Danio rerio: one gene and its partner. The protein of the gene in region 1 interacts with the protein of each later gene in a pairwise test. Links are inferred from orthologs where the notes say so. Each region holds a gene or a part of one and is shown in the gene's direction. Other genes may lie near its edges.

Region 1 (3,660 bases):
AACTATAGCTACGTTTCCATCCACTTTTGGATATGCGCATAAATCAGATTGAAACGCCAAGATCCGCATTAGTTTTAAAACTGCGCATAAAAAACATGTGCGCATAACTGAGTAGGATAAACTTTTTATTCAAAAAGAAAAGATGCTCATAAACTACGATGGAAACACTTTTACTGAACAAATTCCGGTAAGCGCGTTGAAAAGAAAAGTCATATGATTTTGTTACAAGAGGTCATGTGATGATAAAAGTGTGTGTGAATGGACAAACCAGCAGGCTGAGCACACTGTAAAACACCTGAAATGTTGTTTTGGTCATTCTAAAACACCTTAATCTTTTCGGTATCAGTGTTATTATATTAATGAACTCCAGAACTGTCAAGAGAATCTGAGCTCCACGTTTCATGCCTTTAAAGGCCACCATGCGTTCATTGCGTGTCTGCATTGTCTTCTGAGGCATAAGTCATTTATTAAATAAGGAAAAGATTGATGCAGCTTCTCCTACACGGCAAATTCCGGTTTAACTTTTGATTTTTGCACCAGTTTATCAGGATGTGACGATTATGTTCTCTTTGACTCGTTGAATGAAAACGCTACATTATTCGCACAGCTTTTATACAATATTCCAGTTTTCCACTCATTCCACTCATTCTTTTTGTAAAAGCAATCTGTAAGGCATTTATATTTAACACGAACGAAGATAGCTTGACAGGTTAACAACACTTTAGCAAACATTTATAATTGTTTAATGGTTCAAATGTTGCTGGTATAGGAAACAATCAAACTATTTAGCCTTAACATGCAATGTGCAGCATAACTGAGTATACCACATTATAAAAAATGAACATTTTTATCCATTTCTCAGTGAATATAGGTCATATTTTTGAAAACAAAACTGATTTGTTAAACGGATATATTTATTAAAATAATATTTTAGTCACCAAACGACATAGAACCATAAAGCATTTAAATTTATGCAAAATATTGGGAAAAATACAGTTTTGGTTTCTCTTGAATTTTGCTCTTGAATTTTTTATTTAATATTTGTACCTTAACATATATATTTGAGCTACTAATTTTGTTTTTACTTTTTTGACGCCATTTTATCAGAAAGTGAATATTTTATTCTCCGACTCATTGAATAGCAACGTTGCTTTAAGTGCATTCGCTTTTCATGCGATATTCCAGTTTTGCGCATACATTTAATTTGCATTTGCATGGATGGAAATATAGCTAATGTCAAATTTTACTGTACTGTCCATAAACGCAGCATTAGAAACACCTTGCCGAAAGCGTTAACAGTTTTGTATAGCATGATGAAGTATAGCTTATTAAATGTACATGCGTATTAAAAAAATTCAGCTTATTGAAACCTTTAAGGATTTAAGATGCAGATGACCATTGAAACATGTCCTCGTCGTCTTGTGAAAAGGGTATATAATGTGATTTTTTTCTCAACAGTGCCATCTTTGTTTTCCTGAATATATGAGTAATCAGTAGGCTGATGTCCTACAGTGCATTGCGATCTGACGTTCGTCCAAGAGCTTCTGCTGCAGCAAATTAAACAGCGTTCCACTCCTCCGTCTTGCTATCTTTCTTCTGCTCATCTTTCATTTTAGCCATTTATCTCTGTCTGCTGTCCTTGCCTCATCTCTTCCTGCAGGATATCTGATCATGACAGACGAGTGGTTCTCCGAGTACGTGTACGAGGTGGTGGTGGATAAGAGTTTTCTCTCTCCTGAAGTGCTGGACGTCATGCAGAAGGACCCCGTCGTCCTCCCGGCCTGGGACCCCATGGGAGCCCTGGCGTAACCACAGGAGCCAGTCTGATCTCCTCAACTCCACCTTCAGCTGGTTTTAACCCCCTCCCACCATCTCTCACAACAAGCCTGGTCTAGAAAAAAAAAAGAATAAAGTTTTTTTGCCTCTTTTTTTATTATCACAGGAGTCTGAGTGTGGAGTCATTTCAGTGCTGCGTTTGCATGCTGGTTTCCAACAGGTTGTAATAACGTCCCCTAACGGAGTCCGTGGCATTCTTTAAATACTCAAGTGAAGAGTCCACTGGGTACACCAGAATCTCGCCGGAAATGGTATGTTATCCAGGGATCTTGCGTTTTATGAATAGATGTGCTACTTTCTTCACATACCTTTTCACCTATTATATAGTAGAGAAATTTTCTGATGCAGCTTTAAGTTCAGACTGCATGATTTTGACTCGCCAACAGGTTTTTGAGAAATCGCAGACAACTGATTGAAATCACAGGCAAATCAGAGCCTGTTCACGTGAGTAACAAAGTGTGAACTATTAAAGTCACGATCTGAGAGAATCACCAATAATTCGCTGATATCCGTGAGATATTTGGGATGCTAAATACCTGGAGCTGTTGGTGATTCAGAATCATGCCATGTAAAATGTGTACTGATTGAAAATAACATCGCTGATAAGCTCTAAGCACGGCTAGAGTTTAAAACCAACGATAAACTTCCGATGAAAGCCTAATGTGACTATTTCCAATTTCACAAGGTTGTTTTTAAAGCACTGATGTTGTAATGTAATTACAAAATCCTCAGTTAAATAGACTCAAGCATTCATTTAGTTGTTTAAGCGTAAAAAGATATACAAGAGCGTTGTAACCGCTAGTGCCGTCAGTAGCAACAGAAGTTCCATTGAAAATACTGGGGTCAAATAAAGGGTCATATTTTAAAGACATGGTGGGGGAACTGGAATTAAATGCAGGGCTTCCTGTCCGATCTGAGACCCACTTATATCATATCATATATCTAACAGGCAGCGAAGATCGCTGATTTTAAACGTGACAGTTTTGTAATGGAAAGACAGTTTACTTGAAGCCATAGGGCTGCCCTGCTGAAAATTAAAAGTCTGTGTGCATATAGCCCATTACCTACCGCCAATGAGTAAGCAGCATCCACTAGTATGGGTATCTGCAGGCCAGCGAGAGGTTCGGGAAAAAGTTAAAAGGGCTTCTTTTCAGAAAAAAAACGTCACCATTTGACAATAGTGCAGGTGAAAAAAAACTAGAAACTAGACTCATAACAAAAAGAAAAAAGCTGCGCGGCATCAACAGAGCTGTGAAGGGAGTGCTCTTTCCCTCGGTCTCACACACGCATACAGGCATCTAAACGCGCACAAGCACACCTTTTAAACTTGACAAAAACTCTTGAAAAACTTTACTGTCTGCTGTGTCTTTAATATGGTCTAAAGATTATTATGCGTTATTGAAACATCAAGGAGGACGCAGCAAAGAAAAGTCACTTATAAATTAAAACTTTATTATTTTATGCAACAGCCTTACATTTAAAAGGGGAACATAAGGGCGATCATACGCAAAAAGACCCCAGCCAATAAGGCTAGATGTTTTCTTTCCCTTATTTATTTATATTTGCCGCATGTACTCGTGTGCGATCGGAAAACTGTGTCTGCACTCCGCCTCTCCTTTCACTCTGCCCCGAAGCCCCAGTTGACCTGTTTAGCACTCGGAAGTGACAGTGGAAACGCGACTGGCCTTGGCTCGCTCACTTTAGGCGCGATAGTGGAAACGCGGCTGGTCTCATGCACTCCATGACGACCACAGCATCAGCTCAGGATACAGCCTGGTCCAGGATTATGGATACCTTGGGTTTATCTCTTCACAGGTCTTGGAT
Region 2 (3,660 bases), on another chromosome or scaffold:
GCCATCCACAGAGTAACATCAGTCTGACAGAGGAGAACAGGAGATCAAGCTGGACTCATTTGAAGAATCACAGAGTCAATTAAGTTCATATTGAGCTGCTGTTATTGCTGAAATGTAGTTTTTCATAATCAAATTTCAAAACTTATTCATTTCCAACTGAATCAAATCCACAATGAACTGAATCAAATTAACACTGAATTAATTCCAAACAGAAGTAAAATGGAAATATTGAACTTAGAACTAAACTAAATGAATTGAATCAAATCAACACAAAATTCAATCAACAATGAACTAAATCAAACCATGACTAAACTGATCACAGCAATACTCAACTGAATCAAATCAACATCAAATAGAAGTCATCATTAAACTGAATCAAATCCACAATGAATTGAACCAAATCAACGCTGAACTGAATCAAAACATGACTGAAATGTATCTGTTCTACACTGAAGTCAATTAAATCAACATTAAACTGAATCAAATGAACAATGAATTGAACCAGATCATCTCTGAATTGAATCAAACCATCACTGAACTGAATCAAATCCACAATGAACTGAATCAAACCATCACTGATCTGATTGAAATCAACACTGAAGTGAACCAAAACATGATTGAAATGTATCTATTCCACACTGAACTCAACTAAATCAACATTAAACTGAATCAAATCCACAATGAATTGAATTAAATCAACACTGAACTGAATCAAACCATCACTAAACTGAATCAAACCATCACTAAACTGAATCAAATCATCACTGATCTGAATCAAATCAACAATGAATTGGATAAAAACATGACTGAAATTTATCTATTCCACACTGAACTCAATTAAATCAACACTGAACTGAATCAAACCATTACTGAAAAAAAAACAAAAGCGGGCGCATTATTTACCTCATGCCCTTACTGAACATTTGTTTTTTTATTTCTAAGTCTCTAAGTCTAAATCAACATTTAACTGAATCAAATCTACTATGAATTGAACCAAATCAACACTGAATTGAATCAAACCATCACTGAACTGAATCAAATCAACACTGAACTGAATCAAATCAACACTAAAGTTAACCTAAACATGATTGAAATGAATCAATTCTATGTTTAGCTAAATTAAATCAACATTACACAACTGAATCAAACCATAACTAAACTGAATCAAATCAACATCCAAAAACAGAAGTCCTCATTAAACTGAATCAAACCATCACTGATCTGATTCAAATCAACACTGAAGTGAACCAAAACATGATTGAAATGTATCTATTCCACACTGAACTCAACTAAATCAACATTAAACTGAATCAAATCCACAATGAATTGAACTAAATCAACACTGAACTGAATCAAACCATCACTAAACTGAATCAAATCATCGATGATCTGAATCAAATCAACAACGAATTGGATAAAAACATGACTGAAATTTATCTATTCCACACTGAACTCAATTAAATCAACATTAAACTGAATCAGATCCACAATGAATTGAACCAAATCAACACTGAACTGAATCAAAACATGACTGAAATGTATCTATTCTACACTGAACTCAATTAAATCAACATTAAACTGAATCAGATCCACAATGAATTGAACTAAATCAACACTGAACTGAAACAAACCATCACTGAAAAAAAAAGCGAAAAAAAAAAAAGCGGGCGCATTATTTACCTCATGCCCTTACTGAACATTTGTTTTTTTATTTCTAAGTCTCAACAACATGCATGAAACTGGCAAAAAGAGAGGAAAAATAATCTGGCACAACTTAAAATAGCATGGTAAATAAATAACCTGGTACCAGAACAAAACAGCTCACAAATAATGTTTGCACATCAAATGAAACGTTAAGTGGGCTTGAATTCAAATCACAATGCTGAAACGGGCTGCTCACAGTGCCTAATCAATGGCTAAAGTTACATTTCCACTCTGACGCCAACTTTTTCACATCAGGCTTGGCCGCTGTCAGACTTTTCAACATGTCATAGGTTTCGGGACAAGATACCCAAAATGCGCTCAGGCTTTCAGCACCATGGAGAGCCGCCTTCACATCGCCTGCGGCCTAAATTTCAGCCAGCTGGCTCTGAAGGGCCACCTCGACTAATAGCAGCATTTTCACCGCGTTTGTGGAGAGTTTTCTATCAATCCTAGTGTTTGACTGTGGTATAGGTGATGGGAGCCTGAATCAAATGCCTTCAGTTTGTAGTGAAATGGAAAAACTATAAACATCAAACATAATGTTAAACCAAAGTGAGAATTTTTATTAGATTTTCTTCTTGGGGGTCCGGCCCACAAGGAGACTGTCTGGTAAAACTCTGGCCCTCTGACAAATAGAGTTGATGACCCCTGATGTAAACCCTTTTTAGCATATTCAAACAAGCAGTATTAGCCTAAAGAGGGATGTTTAATCTCTTAGAATTTGTGCTTATGGCTTTGTATTTAATAGGCCTATGAATTTATGTTTATTACCCTCTCGTTTCCCCTTATTTCTCTCATGCGTTTGTTATATATTTAATTCATAATTACCCGTTTGTTTAAAAATGATCTATAGCTTGTAGAGACTGTATTCTGTTTTATTTGTTCTGTAAATCTTTGGTGTTATAAATAAATAAATGATGATAACGCCATGTGATCGGTCATGACTGCTGCAACTGTGAGCCTCAAAGTGTCCGACTCTGTTTTCAACTCCGCCCCTTCCTGCGCTCAGTTAATCTCATTGATCACCACGCGCCTATCATTAAAGTGAATCAAATCATCACTGTTCTGAATCAAATTCACAATGAATTGAATCAAATCCACAATTAATTGATCAAAATTACCATTGAATTGAATCAAAAAAATGACAAGTTCATCTATTCCACACTGAACTAAATTAAATCAGCATTAAACTGAATCAAATCCACAATGAACTGAATCTAATCAACAATGATTTGAATCAAACCATCACTGAACTGAATCAAATCATCACTGCTCTGAATTAAATCCACAATGAATTGAATAAAATGAACATTAATTGAGTCAAAACATGACAAGTTTATCTATTCCACACTGAACTAAATTAAATCAACATTAAACTGAATCAAGTCTTCAATGAACTGAACAAAAACCATCACTGAACTGAATCAAATCAGTACTGAACTGATGTTTTCTCCTCTCCATCAGATGTGATACGAGTGCCCAGAATGGCTCAGGTCAGACGGCCAGAGATGTGGCCGTGTTTTGGGGTCACCGTCACGTGGCCAGTCTGCTGTCCGGTTCTCCAGATGTGGATCTTTTGCCCAGCGGAGGTGTTCAGGAGCTGGATATCTACTTCAACAGGCAGATGCTGGACAGAAAGAGTGAGAAGCGCACAGATTTAGCCTGGATCTCTGAAAAACAGGCTGATCCAGACACAGTCTTCATCGTTTTCCATGACCTGTGTCCACTGGTGCGCCGCGGAGCTCAGGACACGGTGTGTGTGTGTGTGTGTGTGTGTTTGTGTGTGTGTGTTAGATAGGGCTCTAAATTAATGAATTATTATTGTTTAATCTCTCCTAAATGAAATTATCAAACTGAATCAAATCAACACTCAAGTGAGTCAAAGCATCAAACTAAAATAATTCAGCATTGAACTGATTCAAATCAACACTGAAGTGAACCAAAACATGACTGAGA

The links. The genes of interacting proteins can lie anywhere in the genome.
Region 2: the proteins of blmh (region 1) and nudt12 interact in binary tests that used the Homo sapiens proteins (3 or more experiments, as listed by UniProt). The two-hybrid records come from large-scale screens. The link is inferred for Danio rerio from reciprocal best matches to the Homo sapiens genes BLMH and NUDT12.

The regions. Positions count from the first base shown.
Region 1 is NC_133190.1:31,140,088-31,143,747, reverse strand, and holds part of blmh (bleomycin hydrolase), read left to right. Parts: intron 1-1,660; coding exon 1,661-1,809; 3' UTR 1,810-1,851; exon of another isoform or gene 1,852-1,939; intron 1,940-1,942; 3' UTR 1,943-3,660. UniProt on the Homo sapiens protein: The normal physiological role of BLM hydrolase is unknown, but it catalyzes the inactivation of the antitumor drug BLM (a glycopeptide) by hydrolyzing the carboxamide bond of its B-aminoalaninamide moiety thus protecting normal and malignant cells from BLM toxicity.
Region 2 is NC_133183.1:903,258-906,917, forward strand, and holds part of nudt12 (NAD-capped RNA hydrolase NUDT12), read left to right. Parts: intron 1-3,168; coding exon 3,169-3,457; intron 3,458-3,660. UniProt on the Homo sapiens protein: mRNA decapping enzyme that specifically removes the nicotinamide adenine dinucleotide (NAD) cap from a subset of mRNAs by hydrolyzing the diphosphate linkage to produce nicotinamide mononucleotide (NMN) and 5' monophosphate mRNA.